Lepisosteus oculatus: one gene and its partner. The main gene of each other region encodes a partner of the protein of the gene in region 2 in a complex. Links are inferred from orthologs where the notes say so. Each region holds a gene or a part of one and is shown on either strand. Other genes may lie near its edges.

The links. Proteins that work in one complex are often made in the same cells at the same time.
Region 1: fam8a1a (region 2) and herpud1 share a complex: the UniProt entries of both Homo sapiens proteins name them as parts of the HRD1 complex. The link is inferred for Lepisosteus oculatus from reciprocal best matches to the Homo sapiens genes FAM8A1 and HERPUD1.

Annotation. Positions count from the first base shown.
Region 1 is NC_090715.1:1,191,901-1,202,586, reverse strand, and holds the start of herpud1 (homocysteine-responsive endoplasmic reticulum-resident ubiquitin-like domain member 1 protein), read right to left. Parts: upstream 4,738-10,686; 5' UTR 4,036-4,737; coding exon 3,883-4,035; intron 3,316-3,882; coding exon 3,238-3,315; intron 2,836-3,237; coding exon 2,761-2,835; intron 1,855-2,760; coding exon 1,709-1,854; intron 1,334-1,708; coding exon 1,232-1,333; intron 873-1,231; coding exon 528-872; intron 1-527. Other genes in the region: slc12a3 (solute carrier family 12 member 3), read right to left, coding at 6,272-6,413, 10,228-10,295, 10,557-10,686. UniProt on the Homo sapiens protein: Component of the endoplasmic reticulum quality control (ERQC) system also called ER-associated degradation (ERAD) involved in ubiquitin-dependent degradation of misfolded endoplasmic reticulum proteins.
Region 2 is NC_090705.1:39,581,183-39,591,368, forward strand, and holds the start of fam8a1a (protein FAM8A1), read right to left. Parts: upstream 4,787-10,186; 5' UTR 4,721-4,786; coding exon 4,222-4,720; intron 4,084-4,221; exon of another isoform or gene 3,791-4,083; intron 2,635-3,790; coding exon 2,514-2,634; intron 1,061-2,513; coding exon 937-1,060; intron 348-936; coding exon 208-347; intron 1-207. UniProt on the Homo sapiens protein: Plays a role in the assembly of the HRD1 complex, a complex involved in the ubiquitin-proteasome-dependent process of ER-associated degradation (ERAD).

The DNA of each region.
Region 1 (10,686 bases), on a different chromosome or scaffold from region 2:
GGTGTTGGGTTTGTGTAACTTGTTATACTTCTCCATCAGCGAAAATAATAGAAAGACAAATCACAAACAGGGAGTTTAACTGAAAGGGGATCCAATCACTCACTCTGATGAACAATTATACAAGATCTAATCTTTGAAATCTATAGAACTCTAAATTGCAAACATAAACAGACCCAGTCCTACACAAACATCCTGCACAGCTCTGGCAAACTGGTCATTTCAGCCTGAATCGTTTTAAAAAATAATTTCACATGTTGCGTCCTCCCCAAGACTTCCAGTCGCCAGATCACGCCAATATTTGCAAGAAGGCTCTGTTCCCTTTGCCCAAACCCAGCCAAGCAGAGAGCTCCCGTCTTAGAGCACCAGATGTGCAGCAGGGAAGGGCTGGGCGATACCAAGACAGCACAGCCTTTCTGGGGGCTGGCTCCAGTGCCAGTGTCCACAGCAGGACCCCGTCTGAAACATGACCTTGTTCAGTCTTGTGTACCCACGCAGGGAAGACCACGTGAAACCCCACCAGTACTCACAGGTACATGATCAGCAGGCTGCTCATCACCAGCACGAAGCGGCTCACGCTGGAGTAGAAGTACAGGATACTGAGAAAGACCGAGAAACGGGCAGCGGTGTACACCCAGTCCAGCCAGTCACGGTTCACGTCCTCCTCGTCCTCCATCACCGGGCCGCCCTGGGCGTTCATCCGCAGGTTCTGATTGGCTCCCGGGTTGATGAGCGGGGGCTGCGGAGCGTTCTGATTGGCTGGGAGGTTGTCAGCGGGGGCCTGATTAGCCAGGGGTACAGGAGCCGGCGTGACGACAGGCAGGGAGGGGCCACTGGGGGCCACATGGGAGGAGGCAGCAGCCAGAGCCGCCTGACTGCAATTCAACACGAAGACGACAAGCGTCAGGGGGAGACAGACGACGCCAGCAAAGGATTTAAATTTGACCACCTAGCAGCTATTCATGTACGTCCCCATACACAGTCTCTGGAGGAGCTACGTTCCCGGACGATTCTGAAGTACACAAAGCCAGTTCATTCCTCAGTTTTTACAGTCCGCCTTCCACTTTGGAATCTTATTCAGCCATCCGAAGGAAATGCATCTCAGAAAGCACGAGCATTATGGAGAATGAAACAAATCCATTCCGTATAAAACAACAAGAACACTCCACCCACAAAAGTATCTCAACAGCAATAGCTCAGGGCACAAAGCCCCGCCAGGCAGAGCTGTACTTACTATTGCATGTAGTACTGCCTGACATACATCTGCTGCAGCCAGAGGAGCTGCTGAGGGCTGTACACCGAGTACGCAGGACGACGCACATCCGCTCCCCCCAGCCTGGAGAAAAGACAGACAGCAACCTCAGCTGGACAGCACTACCTGGCACAACCACCCAGCTCCTTTCACACACCACTGCAGACAGCACAGGACATCTGGGCACACGGGGCAGCGGTACAGCGACGCACACAGGCCTGAGCTCAACAAGGGAGGAATTCATTCACGGCTGGTACGAAAGCACAATTGATTCTGTGGCATCAGGGAGCAATTTTACACTTCTTGCTCACATCAGGAGGAAAGCAACGGCCTTGACCCTCAGCCATGCTTTAAGTCACGAATAAGGCCTAAAGTTGATTATGTGGACCGAACAGCAGACAGTTTCCTTCAGGATCCCACATGCGCTGTGGTGGACCCTTGCTGAGGGGACGCACTCACATCGCAGGGCTTGTCCAGGCAGAAGGCACGCCTCCAGCACTCCCTCTGTGCCGTAATCCGTCTCCGCTGGGCCCAGGAGGAGCTGCGCCCGCGGCCTGGCCAGCCGCACGGGGCACAGACTGCACACACGCCTCGGCTCCCGCAGCCTAGACCACAGACAGAGCGACGACGCTCGTTAGCACAACAAGAGCTCGCGGCAAGAACAACAAAAAAAAGATGTGAAACTCGAGCATTCTGAAATTAGAACAGGTCGTTTCAAAAAGAATGTAAAATATCCGCCCGCAGCCTTGGGAACAGGCTGCAAGGGCTGCACCTGGTTGCTGGGGAGATGATGCAGAACAGGGCTAAACCTCCCCAGTTTCAATACGTGAAACCTGACACTTCACTTGTGCACTCCCTGCTGAAGAGTCCAGGGTTTACTTTCGAACTGTATCAGCAAAATCAACAGAACTGATCAAATCAAGCACAAGGCTATGATTATGACATTTTATCATGCAAACATCACTGTCCTAATTCTCTTTCGTGCTGCAACAGTAGAGGTTTTAAAGCGCTGTTCTTTCTGGAACCCTGTAAAAGTGAATACATCTCTTTTAATCCAACAGAAACAGTGTTCTCGACTTCCAGATAATTTTGCCGACAAATACTACTTGTAAACTTCATATTACAGGAGTCATTACAGTGACTAGTGAGCAGGAAGGGCCCATGGCGATTATCCAGTACTTCCACAAAGTTCTCGATTTTGTGCTTAATTGAGAATTTGTAAATTTTTCCAATACCATCAATTATTTTTTTGTTTGTTACCGAGACGTAATAATTGGTCTGAGAAACTGGGAATGCAGTTTCTTTTTAATAGCAACGGAAGGGCTAGTCCAGAAGAATCTGTTTCAGTTCTGCATTTTGTGAACAGTGCTCTTCAGACATTGTGCCCCTGTTCAACACTACTTAAGCGCCCATGAAGCACGGAGCCACAGAAAGCAGCAGAGCAGCCTCGATCTCCACTCCTGAGGGCTGCTGACTGGTACAAGTCTCCAACTACAGCATGACTTGCATACCTTAGGCTGGGATCCGTGTTGTGAGCCCGGAGGCTTGAAGGCACAGACTAAGTGAAGGGTTGGTGTGGTGTCTGACTGTAAAGAGAAGAAATCAGAGTTTAGTTCTGCTCGGAGAGGAATACTGGAGCACAAACAGCTCAGGCGCAAGATGAAGTGGATCAGAAAACTGTATGAGCACCAGACACTGATCTCCAGTCACCTGAGCCCAGTGTATAACACACAACAAATGGAGGTTTGAGGTACTTTCCACAATCTGTTAAATCCCTTCTCTGCTGCTACAACTGATTTGCTGTGCGTCACCCAGCTGGTGGATGAACTGGGCCCCACTCTGCATGTAAAGTATTATACAGATACTAGGAGGGGTTTAAGAACAAGATGTTGTAATTCAATTAGATAGCAGGTTTAAGATGATACAGTTGGTGGGGTGTGCTAAGAAGCAACAGGAAACAGCACTGATAACATCACGTTCATGTTTACCTTCCGGAAGACGTCTCTCAAGAGCAGGTGGTCTGGCAGCAGTTTCCCGGAGTAGATGAGCCGCTGGTCTTTCTCAGGCTGCGGGGCGAGAATCAGGTGAAACAGAGAACTGAGAAACAGCAACAGAGCGGACAGGAAGGACAAGACACCTGCAGGAGTCACAGCGCGGGGAAACACCTGTCGAGGTCTTCCTGCTCTTATTCCTGATTTACACCGATACCGAAGAGGCGCACCGGGTGCTTGTTGATGTTCAAGACAGGTAAACCCACTTCCGGAAAAAAACGTACAGAATATCGCTCTTATTCAACGCTCAGGGTTCGCTCATTGCACAGCTAGGAGCGCACGCAGAAGACTTAAACCGTGCCCTACCAGGGCAAACTGAGCCACTGAACCCGGGTAAGACTCCGCTAACTGCGACCCGACCACACCGGGGAGAAAGAGACAGGCAGCGCTTCAAGTGCTCCGAACAACTTCAATACCGTATAATAAAACTCACGGCTATAGGACGGGAAAGGAGTCGAAAACTCGCGGTAGGGCTCTAGGATCATGTCGTATTAAGCAGTGTTTCCTATCATGTGGCGCTTCCGGGCAGTGACGCCGGCAGAGCAGAGTCCGGACAAACACGAAAGCAGGCTGGACACTCACCGGGCTGCCCGGGTACACTCCTGACAGGTGCGACTTCAGCTGCCCGACCGTCCAGCTGGGCTGCACTCCCTCCACGGCCCGGTCTCCGTGGGCTTGGTTCGGCGTCTTGACGATCAGGGTCAGGGTCTCCGGTGGCGGAGACGGTCCGTCCATCCCTGTCCTCGGTCTTCGGCGTGCGAGAGAAGGACGTTACCCCGAATACACTCCGTAAAGGACGAGCCTCGCAACCGTCAGCGGACAAAACAATAGAACTTTCTTTCCTATCTCCCTCCCCCCACCTCGGAGTTAGCTGTCAAACAGTGAAGCGCAGTGCCGCTCAGCTCTGACTGGAGGTGTGCGGGCTGTTCCGGCAGGTTTATCTCCGGGGGGAGGAATCTTCAAAACACAGTGTGGCCGCCTCTGATTGGCCGGCCGGGGCTCGTGCACTGACGTGGGCCTCTCGCGGGCAGCGCCGCCGGCTGCGCAGACTCCACTAGGGGAGCGCCGAGCTGATGCAACAGGGCGCCCGGCGTGCAGCTGGCAGGCAGAGCCCGGTTCTCGGAGCGCTCCTGCGGGGTCCGGCGGCAGGCCGTCCGCAGTCTGCCTCACCTTGACACCGGTGTTGCTGCTGAAAGCTCGTCTTTTCGAAAGAACGTTTGAGGAAACGTGAAGGGTTGTGTTTAAGTAAAACAAACGCAATGAAACTGTTTGTTCATGTAGAACAAACGCGCACGTCTAAGTTGCTGTTTCTTCTCCGTCCCTGGTTTGGCGTCTTTTTCACTGAACTGTCTAATGCTGCTCCCTCCTTTAATGTTTATAAGGTGGAAACGCAATATTACTTAAACTTCACCAAAAACGCACCAGATGTAGGTAAAAATGTATCTTATTTTGTTCAGATTTGTTATTATCTCTGGCAGCGTTTTATTCTGTTTTTTTTTGTTCACTTTATCTTATTGGATACCCTTTCTCCTTTGTATTATGTAATGTTCAATAAAACTGTAAAGAAATCATATAGATTCAGGGTCAGGGGTCAGAGCAGAACGAATTAGTTCATAGTAAAAGTGCATTTTGGGAAGACGGTGTTCACCGGCAACGAGAGCAGGGGAAAGTTTTTATCCCCTGCTCAACAAATCTCAAACAATGAACCACACATTGAAAAAACTTTATTATTAATAAAAACATAAATAAATTTGTTCAGAACAGTATAATAATGGTGATTACACTGCATGGAGTGATTTTGTTAGAGACTCAGTTGTACAAGCGTTAATGGGAGTTTAAAACAGTAAAACAGTACCCTAAGCACACAGATAGGTGTGTGCTTAATGGGCTTAGTTAATGCTAAAGGAAATACGTTTTAAACAATTAAAATACAAAAGCATGAAAACACATATGACATGACTAGAAATAATAAAGTTCCAAAAATTCTAAAAGTGTAAAAATCCAGGTGTAACTGAGTTAAGTTACTTCCCACAAGTCTGGAACAACTCCTCCACATCCCCAGCTCCTAAAATGTTTTAAAGATAAGTTGCTAGTAAGGCATTATGGCTTTATCAGGCATTGGGAGAGTGCAGAAGTGGATCAGCAGGTCCCTGCAAGAGCTGTGTAAATACTCCTAGCAAAAGATGGAGTGAGGCTGTGTCTACATTACTGGCAGGAGAGTGTCTGTGGGGCTGTGTCTACACTACTGGCAGTAGAGTGTGTCTGTGAGGCTGTGTCTACACTACTGGCAGGAGAGTGTCTGTGGGGCTGTGTCTACACTACTGGCAGTAGAGTGTGTCTGTGAGGCTGTGTCTACACTACTGGCAGTAGAGTGTTTCTGTGAGGCTGTGTCTACACTACTGGCAGTAGAGTGTTTCTGTGAGGCTGTGTCTGCACTACTGGCAGTAGAGTGTGTCTGTGAGGCTGTGTCTGCACTACTGGCAGTAGAGTGTGTCTGTGGGGCTGTGTCTACACTACTGGCAGTAGAGTGTTTCTGTGAGGCTGTGTCTACACTACTGGCAGTAGAGTGTTTCTGTGAGGCTGTGTCTGCACTACTGGCAGTAGAGTGTGTCTGTGAGGCTGTGTCTGCACTACTGGCAGTAGAGTGTGTCTGTGGGGCTGTGTCTACACTACTGGCAGTAGAGTGTGTCTGTGGGGCTGTCTGCACTACTGGCAGTAGAGTGTGTCTGTGGGGCTGTGTCTACACTACTGGCAGTAGAGTGTGTCTGTGGGGCTGTGTCTGCACTACTGGCAGTAGAGTGTGTCTGTGAGGCTGTGTCTACACTACTGGCAGGAGAGTGTCTGTGAGGCTGTGTCTGCACTACTGGCAGGAGAGTGTCTGTGAGGCTGTGTCTGCACTACTGGCAGCAGAGTGTCTGTGAGGCTGTGTCTGCACTACTGGATGTAGAGTGTCTGTGTGGCTATGTCTGCACTACTGGCAGTAGAAGGTGAGCACATTTTCCTGGTTGCCCCTGACAAGGAGCACAGGGGGTCGGAGGTCCTGGGAAAGGGTTTCCAGCCAGGCCATGTAGAGAGCGCTGGGGCATTTCCCCCTCCTGCCCACTGGCATAGTCCTGTCAGAGAGACAACAGTGGGCAATCATGACAAGGGTTAGCACTGAGACACAACACTGCACCGACACTGCACACCACACTGAGACACAACATCTGCACTGACCCTGAACACCACACTGAGACACAACACTGCACTGACACTGCACACCATACTGAGACACAACACTGCACTGACACTGCACACCACACTGAGACACAACACTGCACTGACACTGCACACCACACTGAGACACAACACCTGCGCTGACATTGCACACCATGCTGTGACACAATACTGCACTGACCCTGCACACCACACTGAGACACAACACCTGCGCTGACATTGCACACCACGCTGAGACACAACACTGCACTGACCCTGCACACCACACTGAGACACAACACCTGCACTGACATTACACACCACACCGAGACACAACACTGCACTAACATGCACACCATACTGAGATACAACACTGTACTGACACTGCACACCACACTGAGACACAACACTGCACTGACACTGCACACCACACTGAGACACAACACTGCACTGACACTGCACACCACACTGAGACACAACACTGCACTGACACTGCACACCACACTGAGACACAACACCTGTACTGACATTGCACACCATGCTGAGACACAACACCTGCACTGACATTGCACACCATGCTGAGATACAACACTGCACTGACACTGCACACCACACTGAGACACAACACCTGCACTGACACTGCACACCACACTGAGACACAACACCTGCACTGACACTGGACACCTTACTGAGACACAACAGTGCACTAACACTGCACACCATACTGAAACACATCTACACTAACACTGCACATCATAGTGACACACAACACTACACTAATTTTGCAAATTCTGTTCTGTCCTCCTTATCCTGTTTCTCTTCCTCTGACCCTCTAGAGGACAAAATACAGTTACTTGACAATGCTCTTTTATCTACCCTCGACACCTTTGCTCCTTTAAAAACTCGAACCATCTCCTTCTCTCGCCCTGCCCCCTGGTACAATGACCATCTGCGTTTCATGAAGGCAGCCTCTCGCAAACTTGAGCGTAGGTGGCGTCTTTCCGGCCTAAATGTACATTATCAGGCCTGGAGAGATTACTTATCTGATTATAAGGTTACTATAGAGTCTGCTAGATCCACCTACTTCTCTCACATCATTGAAAATCACCAAAACAATCCCAGACATCTTTTCTCCACCATCAACAGACTACTCAAGCCAAACTGCCCCACCACATTACCTGCCTCATCACAACTTTGCAACACATTCTTAGATTTCTTTAGTTCTAAGATTGACAACATCCGGCATCACATTCTCTCCACTACGGATATAATTTCCACACCTCCTCCCTCCTCATCCAACCTCTCTGGTTCCCGTCTCTCCAGCTTCTCTCTTCTTGACTCAGCATCCCTAAACAAACTAGTTACGCGCATGAAACCCACCACATCTATTTTAGATCCCATTCCCACCACTTTATTCCAGTCCTGTTTCTCTTCTCTCTGTCCCATTGTCCTCAATATAATACATGAATCCTTGAGCACCGGCATTGTACCAACGGTCCTCAAAACTGCTGCTATTACCCCAGTGCCAAAGAAGCCTAACATGGCTCTCGACAATCTTAACAACTTTCGCCCCATCTCCAACTTACCCTTTCTCTCTAAAATTCTAGAACGTGCTGTCACACTTCAGTTACATAACCACCTCATGACAAACAACCTTTTCGAACCCCTCCAATCTGGCTTCCGTCAACTTCACAGCACAGAAACCGCCCTAGTCAAAGTCACCAACGATCTCCTAATAGCTTCTGATTCTGGTTCTTTCCATACTCATCCTTCTTGATCTCAGTGCTGCCTTTGACACTGTTGACCATAACATCTTGCTTTCTCGTCTCGAGACTGTGTTTGGAGTCTCTGACACTGCCCTCAAATGGTTTAAGTCTTACCTCACTGATCGCTGTCACTTTGTCTCTCTCAATGGGTACAGGTCTGAAATTGGTCTTGTCAAGTCTGGTGTCCCTCAGGGCTCAATACTGGGCCCCTTGCTCTTCAGCATTTACTTGTTCCCACTTGGTCAGCTTTTAAGATCACATGGCCTCAGCTTTCATTTTTACGCTGACGATACTCAAATATACATCCATACCAAACCCGACACTGATGTGGCTGTCTCTATTCTATCTAATTGCATCTCTGACATAAAAATTTGGATGACTCAAAACTTCCTTCATCTTAACTGTGACAAGACTGAAGTCATGCTTATTGGTACCCCCCATCAACTTCGTAAAGCCAGTCCTGTAACCCTGTCTGTAGATGGCTCTGTACTTGAGCTCCAATCAAAATTGAAAAACCTTGGGGTTATATTCGATTCTGGCTTAACATTCGACCCACATGTACAGCATACTGTCAAAACATCTTTTTTTCACCTTAGAAATATCGCAAGACTACGCCCTATGCTATCATTAACTGTGGCTGAAAAGCTGATCAACATATTTGTATTCTCTCGAATTGACTACTGCAATGCTCTGCTCCCTGGGGTATCTAAATCTACTCTGAACAAGCTGCAGTATGTCCAAAATTCAGCAGCCAGAATCCTGACCAGATCTAGTGCAAGTGTTCACATTACTCCTATCCTGGAGTCCTTGCACTGGCTTCCGGTCAAATTCCGCGTAGACTTTAAAATCCTCATGCTCACCTACAAGGCTTTACATGGCTTGGCACCTCAATACCTGTCTGAACTTTTATCGCCCTACTCCCCACCTCGCAACCTCCGCTCTTCAAATTCTGCCCTCCTTACTGTCCCCCAAGCCCGTTTACATTGTATGGGCGACAGGGCCTTCTCCTGCTATGCCCCCAAGCTCTGGAACTCCTTGCCCAAGGATATTAGAGAGTCACCTTCTCTAAACTCCTTCAAATCCAGACTCAAAACCCTCCTTTTCAGAAAAGCCTTTACTTAACTGGTTCCATTCTTCACCCCTCTGCTCTTCTTAATACCATCTTCCACGGTCTCCTCTATTGTTATTGTTGTATTGTTGTAATTATAATTGTGTCCTGTCTTGTGAAATTTTCTTATTTATTGTTGTAGTCTTCTTATTTATTGTTATTGTCATCATGTAAAGCGCTTTGAGAAGCCACCTTTAAAGGCGCTATATAAAATAAAGTTTATTATTATTATTACTAACACTGACAGATTCTCAAGGCTAGGATCAAACTCAGGACATTGGATCTGCAAGACACTGCCTAACTAACTTACACAATTATATGACCTGAAACAAATGCCTAGATATCTGTAACTGTAAGAAATAATATGCACATAAAAGCAAATAAGCTGGTGTCTTATAAAGAGGAGTGGCTGCCACTCCAACCATACAGTGCCTGCAGGGCTGTGTAGGAGAGCAGCGGGGTCAAACAGTTTTCACTGAGCAGTACAGGAAAAACGCCACAGAAATCACCAGACTGATCACCCACTGGAACTAATGGGCACTTGCTGCAGACACAAGCAGAACCAGACAGAAAGCGCTGAGGGAAGACTAGGGCAGTGAGGGTTTTCGTGCTCATTGAACTACACTTCCAGTATTGTTGAGCCTAACCGTTTCTGAAACTAAAATGCAAATGATTACCGTGCACGCAAGATCAGCTCTGGGGGTAATTATCTGAAATTCAAGCCCTGAAATGGAATCTGGGTGATGTTCTCTGAACAGTATGTACAGTCCAGTAGCCATTAGGGTGTGTGCTTAGCAAATCAAGGAGAGTGGCTAATTCCCTGGCTCATTCCACTGGGGGCTCAGCATTTCCACTCACAGGATGATGAGCGCCGCGTCTCGGGAGTAATCCAGCAGGATTTCATTCAGATGGATCTGTCGGAGGGACTGCCGGAAAAAAGAAAGCATATTTTTAAAATATGATTAATTTGAAAATCCTCAAAAAACAGTGTTTCATTCTTGCATTTTCTCTTACAGAATTGTGTTTTTTCCTTATTTAAAGCACAAAGTGCTCTGGTTTGCCATAGCCTGAGCACAATCTCTCGCTGTCAGGAAGCGAAGTGCTCTTAAACCACAGATTGGTTTCATTCTGCCCAAGTCATCCGCCAATAACAGAAGATGAAGAATTCAGACTTGAAAGAGTCTCACCTTGGCCTTGTTCCTCTCTATCTCTTCATCCGAAATCTTCCAGGGGAATTCCTTCTTCATTTCATTGACTGTGTTTTCGTCCCTGAATCCATCGTTCAGCCGGTAGGGGCCGAGCAGATCCTCAAACCTC
Region 2 (10,186 bases):
ATGCTGACAAGCTAATCCTAAAACCTGAATGAACAAACGGAAACTTGCGCAGAAGCAGCGAAGCCGAGACACTGGTTTGAACCTCACCGATCAATACACAGGTGGACAATGCCTTCCTGTTTCAGGCAGGGGACGATCGGATGTTAGTGGAATATAGATTACCCAGAAAGGCAGCAGGGAGGGCCGATGGCTTTGTGCTGTACTTACGCAGACAAGGTGACGTTCGACGCCGGTACCACAAAAACCCGATTGGGCCGCACAAGAACCGATGTGTCACAGGTGACAACGCGGAGACCCAGCAGAAACTTCCCTGGAGTGGCCCCACCAGCTCCCCAGATGCAAATGATCTATAAGCAAGAATTTATTTTCCTCCATTACTTAAGAAAGAGTTATAAATCAGGTCTTACAAGAAATTACAATGGAGGCTTAATACCGATTCAGAACTAACGAGCAGCGCAGAGCTCATTTTTCAATCTGAAAACATTGGGATATAGTGTTCCATGAAAGCAATTAGACTTTTAACATTTACATTTGAATCTAGGTGCAAATGAATTACCCAATAAAAAATGAGATCTTACCCTTTAACATTAATACTTATTATAATAAGGAATCCAAAGATAGGAAAAATCCAAAAGTGTTTCAATAAAAATAAGACCTCTCACAATTTCACAGATGGGATAGAGCTGCAGATATGTACATTTTGGCTCCTTGCAGGAGACCAACAGTTTTCCACTAGAATGGATACAGTGCTAACTCAGTGCTCATGAGAGTTGAAAGATCACCGTAGCACTCTTTCCAAACTCTTGCAAGATCCAGGATTAGCTTTTTACCCTATTCAGTCAACTCGTTAAAAAAAAGGATTCAATAAAAGGACACTCTTTTGCTCTGGTATACAATGGATGGAAACTAGTATCATCTGGGCTAGAATAGTTTCACCTCATAGAAGCACACCAACACCCTGTAGATCAGCGCAACGACCATCATTTTCTGCAGTTCTTCCATCGAGGTGTCCTCATCAATCTCTTCAACAATAAAATGCATGGCAAACTTGGAAATGTCCCTACAGAAGGAAACAAAAATACCACAGGAAATAATGGCTTAAAACAGGACTTATCGACTGGAATATGAACATGAATTAGCCCCAACGCCATCCCATTTTGACCATGTGATGACTTTATGTACATTTCTGCAGTATGATGCTTGGTTTTGGATGATTTAATGTACATACATCAACTGTCAACCTTTATCCTCATTTGTGATTTAGGCAACATTTGGTCTCTGAAACAGATATTCAGCCCTCTAACCTCAACGGGCTCTAAGTACTCCTAATTAACTCCCTCTTCTAGTTTAATAATTATAGTACTTTTAACATACACATCTTGTGGTGTTCAGAACTTTGCAATATTAACAACCCCTAAACTGGAAAACATGTCGGCTTATATACAATAAGAAAAAGAGATGCCCGCAATACCCTAACTGCACATATAACCCAATCAGCTGTGATCGGGTTTGTTTTTCTCTCTTTTCTTCTCTACGTGAAACAGAATCATGCAGAACTACTGAGAGCACAGTCGTGCAAACCTAATCACCAGCACAGAATTCTTTATGAAGGCAGGAAGACTTTATATAAGAAATACCAACATCTGCTGGAGGCAGAGTGCTGGGAACCAATGTTCGAATATAAATCCTACCCATGCTGTAAACAAATCTGAAGTGGTTTGGTTAAAAGGCACAAATGTATATTTATAAGAAGTCATTACAAAAGTCACAACAAAAAGTAACTCAGTCTTAGTCTTACATTTACTGGATTAACTGCTAGGAATAAACCTGAAGAGCTTTTAAACAGATAAACTGCCAGATGATACTGTACTGGTGATGCAGTAACCAGATTAAATTGTTTTATTCTTAAACTAGAGTCCATGTTTCATAGGAATGACTAACAAGTTTCAGTGGTACATTGTTGGTACACTCTTACATATATGCTTATAAATGTGTACTCCAGGAAACAATGATAATGTATACCCTCTGTCTGCTTTGCTTGATGATCCTGTTTTTAATTTAGAAAGTCTTTTACCAAATATCTCTGGCAGGGTTGAAAGTTACTTCCTGCCTCTATATCTAGCCAATAGTTGAAACAGTTCCTTATTCTCTTTAATGCATTTTCCAGTATATTAGAATTAATTTTTACCATGTATATTAGAAAACTCTTGCACACAGTGTACATCTAAAATATTTTCCTAGACTTGCTTAAACAAAGAGATTCCATATTTCTATTCCTTCAATTTTATTGCTAAATGAAGGAAGTTAATTCGATTTATATTCTGTTAATTTAAGAGGGTTGTAGCCATTCAACCTGCTTATCCAAATGACTTTTTCCATAAGCCGGGACCAGATCTAAGTCAACAACAGTCCTTGTTTATTCACCTACAGGACACACTATATATCATGCACAATAAAGAAACATTATTCATGCATTAAGGCTTTCAGAACATTTGAACTGTTCACTGACTCACTTCATGCCACTGAAGTGCATGATGCTGAGCACGATAGTTGCCTTTATGAAGAAAAGGATGAAGAAGTCGACCATTTCTGCTATGAACCTGTGCAGAGGAGATGGAATGGTATACTCTCGTCCTGCAACAAACAAAAAGTGTCAAAGACATCTCACATCACTGACTGCTAAAATGCATTCAAGTCTTATCCCAACTGTGTTACTACAGCACATCTACTGGTCTACAGTTCCTACAGGAAATACACAGAGAAGATGAGGACCAAGATTGCGTTTTGAGGCAGATGGTTATAATGCTCAGAAATATATTTTAAAAACTCACTTTCACGGTCCTTTCTTAACATAACATGTAACACATAAAATAAATTAAATAAGTAAAATGACCCCCCAAAAAAACAATTGTAAACACCCTGCATTGCTTCACAGGGTTTTCACATTAAGAACAATTAAGTCCATCATCTTTTATAGGGGAAGAACCTGTGATCGGTACGTCGTGATGCAATGTGCGCTTTTATAAAATACCAGCACGATTCTTTCTACAAACTCTGCCATTAATACTGCAAAAAAAACACCCAAAATTTTTAGACAAAAACCACAACGCCTCATTTTTCCACCAGCTCAGATTAGTTAGTAAATAGCAATAGACACTCACTTATTTCCTAGCATGCTGGGGAACAAAGACGGAGTTTTGAACAGGATCACATCTGGATTCCTTAGCCTAAAATACACTTTTTTGTTTTTCTTTACTATTCTTTCAGTTATATCTGCCCTCAAGCCTTCGGTCTAGAATTCTCCAGACTGGATGCTGGGTAGCCATCAAAGTACTGGGACCAAGCCCACTTCGGGAAACCAGTTTTCCTCTTTAGATATTCAGGATTATGCATTTCAAATGCTGGACAGTAAAGTGTCTAACGATTCCCTACTTCATATTATAGTCCCTTCAGACCTTCTGCCAAATATAACATTACATTGTACACAGTACTCTGAGACTGCTTTAGTGATACTGATATTTCTAAGGGTGGCTCAAACCCCCTGTATCACAGAACTGGGTGGTCTCTCGGAGAGACCTCACCCCAAACCTGCCTGCTGGGTTCTGGGAAGATGGAGATACTCCCCGCATTTTGAGTTACTTGGGATGGTAATAAGAAGGCTAACGTTTTATATACATCATAGCGTCACAAGAAGATTTCTTCTACGTAACTGCTTTACACATCCAGAGAGGGCTGAGTTTGTCGTTATTACTTCCCAAAGATTATTTTTTTTTAGATCTGCAGGGACATGTCCTACTTTACAGCTTTCCCAGGCAACGTTTCAGGTACAAGTGTGAGCTTTAGTAAAACCTTAACACCGCTTTCACTCACCCACTGGTGAGTTATTCATCGACGCCTTGCCCAAGTTACACAATATGACAAGACGCCATAACGGAAACGAGGAGCTCCTTCCCAGTGATGCATGCCCTCTGACTTTGAAAGACCACAACTGCGGGCGTCCAGTAGGTAAACCTAACCCTTGTGTTCTGGGATGACAGCCTAAGGATCTTGCAGAGTTACAGATACAGCTGGATCTATTGGCAGGTACGTCCCGCACTGGAACATAACCTACAGTGTTAGACTGGCCAAACAGACAAATGCAAAGCGTGTTTATCCTCCTGTGTAACTCGTGGTTACTCCGTCTCTCCCGGTACTGACGCTCTGAAGGGGATCTTTTCTTACCCGGCTGTGGTGCATTTCCATTTTGCTGCAGTACCGGCCTGTCCCCCGCGGTCAACTGCCCGGCCTGCGCCCCGGCTGCAGCGTGACCCGCAGGGGTGACGGGGAAATACGGAGGCGCGGCGAGAGGGAAATGACTGCTGTACCAACTCCGTACATCGGCCGGGGAAGGCCCCCCTCCTCCTCCCCAGGGGGGCGCTGAGCCGTTCGGGTTAGCGGGCGGCGAGAGGGAGCACGGCGGGAAGGCGTACGCCGACATCGCCGCCCAGCTCTGCCAGTTCATACACCCCCAGTAGTACTGCCACATCCACTCCTGCACCTTGCCGCAGTACTCCGCGGCCGTCTGCCGCCCGCCCGGCGCCGGCCTCTCTTCCGACCCCTGGGGATCCCCCAGCCTTCCCGCAGCGTTCATGTCTGCGCCCGTCCTGCGCCTCGCCTGAGAGTTTTTAGCCGCGGGGTCTTCGTCCGCTCTCTCGCCTAACCTCTCCTCCGCGTCGGCCATGATGAGAACTGGTGTAGCGAACACTTGAAGTGGCAGAGAAGTCCGGGGGGAGCCTGAGCAGTGTAAACACACAGGAGAGGCGTTCAGTCGGTCATATATAATTGATCGTATCAGTATTTAAATAGAAAAACTATACTACTTGGAAATATTTGTATTCCGAGCAATACATGCACAATTATCCAAATACAGAAACATCCAAACGTGGATGTTTATAGAGGGCGCCCTCTTTTTTTCACAAAATGTTGGTATAGTCCCCGATCTGGTGACGTACTTCCGCAGGAAATGCGTCGATACAGTACTGGTAGAATGGCTGTCGAGCTGTTGCTGAGAATTTCACATGATGGATAAAGGGTGATGGTGATGGTGATGGTGATGATGGACATCAGGGTGTGCAGACTGACCCCAAGCGAGATTCTGTTCACTTGAGCAAGGTGCTTCACTCACAACCGGTTAGATGGCAGAGTTGTATAGATGGTTACTCTCCCAGTAGTCATTGACTCAATTTAAAGAAGGGGTAAAATGAAACAACTGTATATACAATGTACAGAACAATAAAAGGCACAGGAAATACAGCTTGATGAATTACCAGCAAACGATCAGCAGTGTATAAGTATCTGATCTGAGGAAGAAGAATGAACAGGCTTGGTATAAGAGGGGCCTGATAATAATTAGCTGATGGAGCAGAAGAGAGTTGATAGGGAGGGGTGAGAGCAGGCAGTTGAGGCGAGAGGCAGGTCAAGGAGAAAGCCATTGGAGGGTGTGAGTTGTTTGCAGTGATTTGTATGTGGTCTGGGGTCCCCAATCAAATATGGAGGTTTTGAGTGATGCCCAATCGTGTTAACTGCCATACCTGTTTCTGTGCAGACATTTCCCGGAGGCACTGCCTGCAAAACTGCAGCGAGGTCGCTAATGGAGTTTATCGCAAAGGTTTGGGAGGGGTGACAACAGCCAAGTTCAATCAGACTTAGCAGTCAGTTACTAGTAATCCCTCCTGACATCCCTTTCCTCACCAAAAACACAAATAACTGAACTTGAACTGAACTGAACTTGAACTTTATTGCCATATGTAACCGGTACAGGTACAATGGAATTCTTACTGACAGAAAGTCTCTCGATTGTAAAACAAGTGTAAAAAACAAAACAAAGTGCAAACAGTGCATCCAGATGTACAAACAAACAGTAGACAATGTACAAGTAAACATGTAGACAGTTTGAATGTAAACAATACAGACGTGTAAACAATGACTGGAGATGTGCAATAGATAAGAAATCATAAAGAGGTAGATGGTGATGGTGTAGGTGTGGCTAAATGTGTTCGTCAATCTCACTGCTTGTGGATAAAAGCTATTGAAGAATCTAGTGGTAAGTGTCTGTATGCTCTTATATCTCTTGCCTGAGGGCAGTGGGGTGAAGAGCTCATGCCCGGGGTGGTGACTGTCCTCTGTGATGGCCAGAATTCTACCACGGCAGCGGTCCTCATAGAGCTGTTTAATCTTGGTGAGACCGCAGCCGATGATCTTCTGGGCCATATTGACCATTCTCTGCAGTGCCTTTCTTTCTCGCGAAGAGGTGTTGCCATACCACACGGTGATCCCGTTGGTGAGGACGCTCTCGATGGTGCAGCGGTAGAAGTTCACCAGCACATGTATTGGCATCCCCCATCGCTTGAGGCACCTCAAGAAATAAAGGCGCTGCTGAGCCTTCTTCATGATAGAGTCAGTGTTCACAGTCCAGGTGAGATCTTTAGAGATGTGAATTCCCAAAAACCTAAAGCTGGTGACTGTTTCCACTTCCGTTCCATCAATACTGAGTGGGCTGTGAGTGTGTGGCCTGTGTCTCCGAAGGTTCACTATTAGCTCTTTCGTTTTCTTCACGTTCAAGTCCAGGTTATGGACTTAAGGTTATACTATATCTTATCTAATTCTGTCCATTACAAATGTCTTTTTGCATCCAAAAAGATATACTGTATGTAAGGGACAGAAGAGAACCTCCAGTCTGTCACCACCTCAGCAGCACCTCCTTGGTCATTCTGCATGGGTGACCCAGTCTCCTTGTCCTATGGGCAGGTAGTAACCCTCAGCAAAGCAGATTAAGCCAACTCTTCACTAAAACGTTCCATAATCCTTTCATTACACTTAATTCTTGTTGATCCTAGTGAACACATAGTTAACTAAATATGGGTCAATCTTGGGTGTCATTTGTGAATTTGGAGAACCACCAAAGTGTAGTATAGAGGAGTGGATTGAATCCAAAGAGCCGTCTATTTCAATGTGCCATAACATGTTCCTTTTATTTATTAAACTGAGCCATGACATCAATGTAGAGTGATGGAAATCGAGAAACACCCTTGTCTTCTCTGTGTGTACTTCCCACCTTTGCACAAATGCCCTCAGGCAAAGCAAACCTCTTCTTCTTTTACAATGCGTTGAAATATTTCTGCCGTTTCGTACTCGTGAGAAAATAAAGATGTACAAAAAGTGGATGAGGGGAATACTATTTTCTACAGCCGCGTACTAAGCTCTCAGAATATCACACCTACACATGTGACCGGGTTCGCATTGCGTTGTTAGCATAACATAACATACAGTATGTACTGTATCTTCCTGTTGTGCAAGCTTGCCCTGTGCTGTATATAAAGTCAGCCGCTTGGAGGCACTGTCGACTAACTAAAACACTAAGTCCCCTGCAGCTCGGATGCATCAGTATGGAAAAAAACTAAAGCGAAGCTCTTCCCTTATAAATATGTTGTGTGTGGTTCACTACAATAAGTAGGCGGTAAAGCCCAATTAAAGCATAGAGATAGACACAATGGTATTCATGGTGAAAAGTACTGCACATACAACATTTTTTATGTTTAACACTTATAGAGGTTATTTGATTTAGTTCTGTAATGCTCACCCATACGTATTTAATTCTTGGGCACATTACTGTATGTGTACTAGCATTCCTCTCATAACAAATGCTGCTCTTTTGCACACGAGCGCCTGTAGGGGTCATGCCGGGGTATGATACTGTAGAGAGCTTGCATCACGTAACCTATGCAATGGAAGTTTAACCAAAACAGATGTTGTGTGATTTAGAGTTATATCAATCTTTACAGTGAATACTACCTGTTTTTAGTCAAGTGAGTATTTTTGTCTTTTAGGGGCTCTGGAAATAATATAGTCCACTGACATCGTATAAGTGCGGTTTTGATGGAGGTACCATCATTTAAAACATACCCACGTACACACATCGTTATAATCTTTTATATTTATAAATGGCATTTTAATGTCACTCTCCCCACCGATTCCTTACAAAAGAGACGCGGTAAATTTAACGCGTTACCGTGAAAACCCAACGCAACTAATATGCATTAGCTGAACACTAAAATTCTCGTTAGGATTGTTTCATCAAAGGAGATTTACTGTAGGCAATGACGAACAGATTTCCTACCAAACCATGGTTTAGCCTGCAGTTGTAGGCGATTCGTCTAACCTAAAGTGTTCCCACGTTTTTTGTCATTGATAATTTTCTTGAGAAACACAGTGATGCAGCCAGTGATTACATGGTATATGCAAATTATATCTATCGCAGGAATCTCAGATTGTTCTCGGGTGGAAGCTGTCAGTTGGTGACAGTTGCGAAAAAGCGGTGATCTACTGTATTATTTCTCCCCAGACACACTTGCTGACGGGGCCACATTATCAATGAGATCGGGTCTGAACCAGGCTGATGACTGTGCAGGCCTGTGAATGGAGGAGTCCATGCGGAACATCATCAGCCCACGGGAGAATGATCCTGTCTGACAAGCCGCAGAACGACAGGCCAGAAACAAATCGGGGAATAAAAACTGCTGGAAGCAAACGCTGAGTTTAACGGAACCACTACCGTGCGGGGATTATCGTTCCGAAGAGTAGGACGTCCGTCGGAGTTTGCCAACCTTAGCGACGCATCTCAAGCGCTGCCCTGCTAATAATGGTCTTGGACTTGGGACAGATCTGGCCAAACCAGCAGACAGCTGTCTTTTTATGCAGAGATAATTACTACTGTAGCTTAGAAAGTGTTGCGTCTTTCAGACACCGTTAGCTGTAATTCGATTGTTTTTCAAATAATGTAGCCTAACACACAAAGTTAATAAAAAATACTCTAAAACGCTCCCATCCAGCTGTTTAACTAATATGAAAACAATCTTTTTACCTGTCTATGTTTCTGTAGATAACTCTATCCTGAAATGTATTGTGCAAAACGAGCAAGGAGGAGAAACAACATTTAGCCCTTAGTGGTACTTATCAATTTTGTTAGACACAGGTGCTGAAGTCTGATGCTTATGTTTAGAAAAGGATTGTGCTGTAATTCCTAAATATTGGTGTTGAGACTTGCGCCTCCAGAGGGCAGATCAGACACAGACTGCGCAGTGCTGCCTGTTCGCTTTTTCATATCTTTCCTTACCACAGAAGCATCATTCATTCAGGGCTACTGAGGAATCTTTTGTTTGACTTGAACGGAATGAGAGCATCTGATTTTCCCCTCTGAAACACCATTGTGGAACAGGACCATTAGTTTTGGCCGAACAGTGCAATTACTTCAATGAAAGTTCTTTTTTTTTTCAAACCCAGAGATGAAACGAGGAAAAAACAGATATTTTAAAAACATACGTGAGGTTACAAACGAGAAGAAGTCATTTGACGCATTTCACCTGTTTGATAGTTACTAGCTCATTGAAGCAGCGATCCCATCCAGCCGTTTCTTGAAAGAAGCCAGAGTATTGGTTTGAACCACACGGCTGCTGTTTGGATTTTGAGATCGAGGAATAAATACATGCAAAGTGTATCGTAACAAAAATTACGGACGGAGAGATGTTTTTCCCCCGGTGATTGTGGATGTCTGAATGCCCCACAAACTCAAACATTATTCAGGCTAACGCCCTGGAAACCTTCAATAAATGATTTAATTAACCCACTCAGCACTGAAGTAGCAATATGAACAAAACAGCTAACCCTGTAGCTGACAGTGACCATTCTTCAGCGTACAGTCACAGGCAGAATTTTACAGTGTATAGGATTTGAATACCATAGTCCCATGGTGTGATAGAGAAAAAGGATTAGAAGTCACAGTGGGTAGAAATGAAGTCAGTGTCAAATTGAGTCCAGTCACAGAACTTCAGAGATGGCAACATTAGTCTCTGTAAAACATCCAGAAAAGCTGTACTGCCCAAGATTGTGGTAGGTCTCTGAGGACGCGTTTGGAGATATCTGCAAATTAAATTATCTAATTCTCATCTGGGACCAACTCCTGTGCTCGAACTGTAGGAAATCCTCTGGCACCATTTGTGTGATATTTAGTTTAATAAAGGTATACAGGGACATAGAGGCTGAGGCTACACTCTCTGTTCAGTCTGATGGTCTCTCCTTTCTTCCGAAAAGGCATTCTAAATCTAAAGATCAAAATATTCTTTAAAATTCTCACATTTCAGAGAAACGTGCA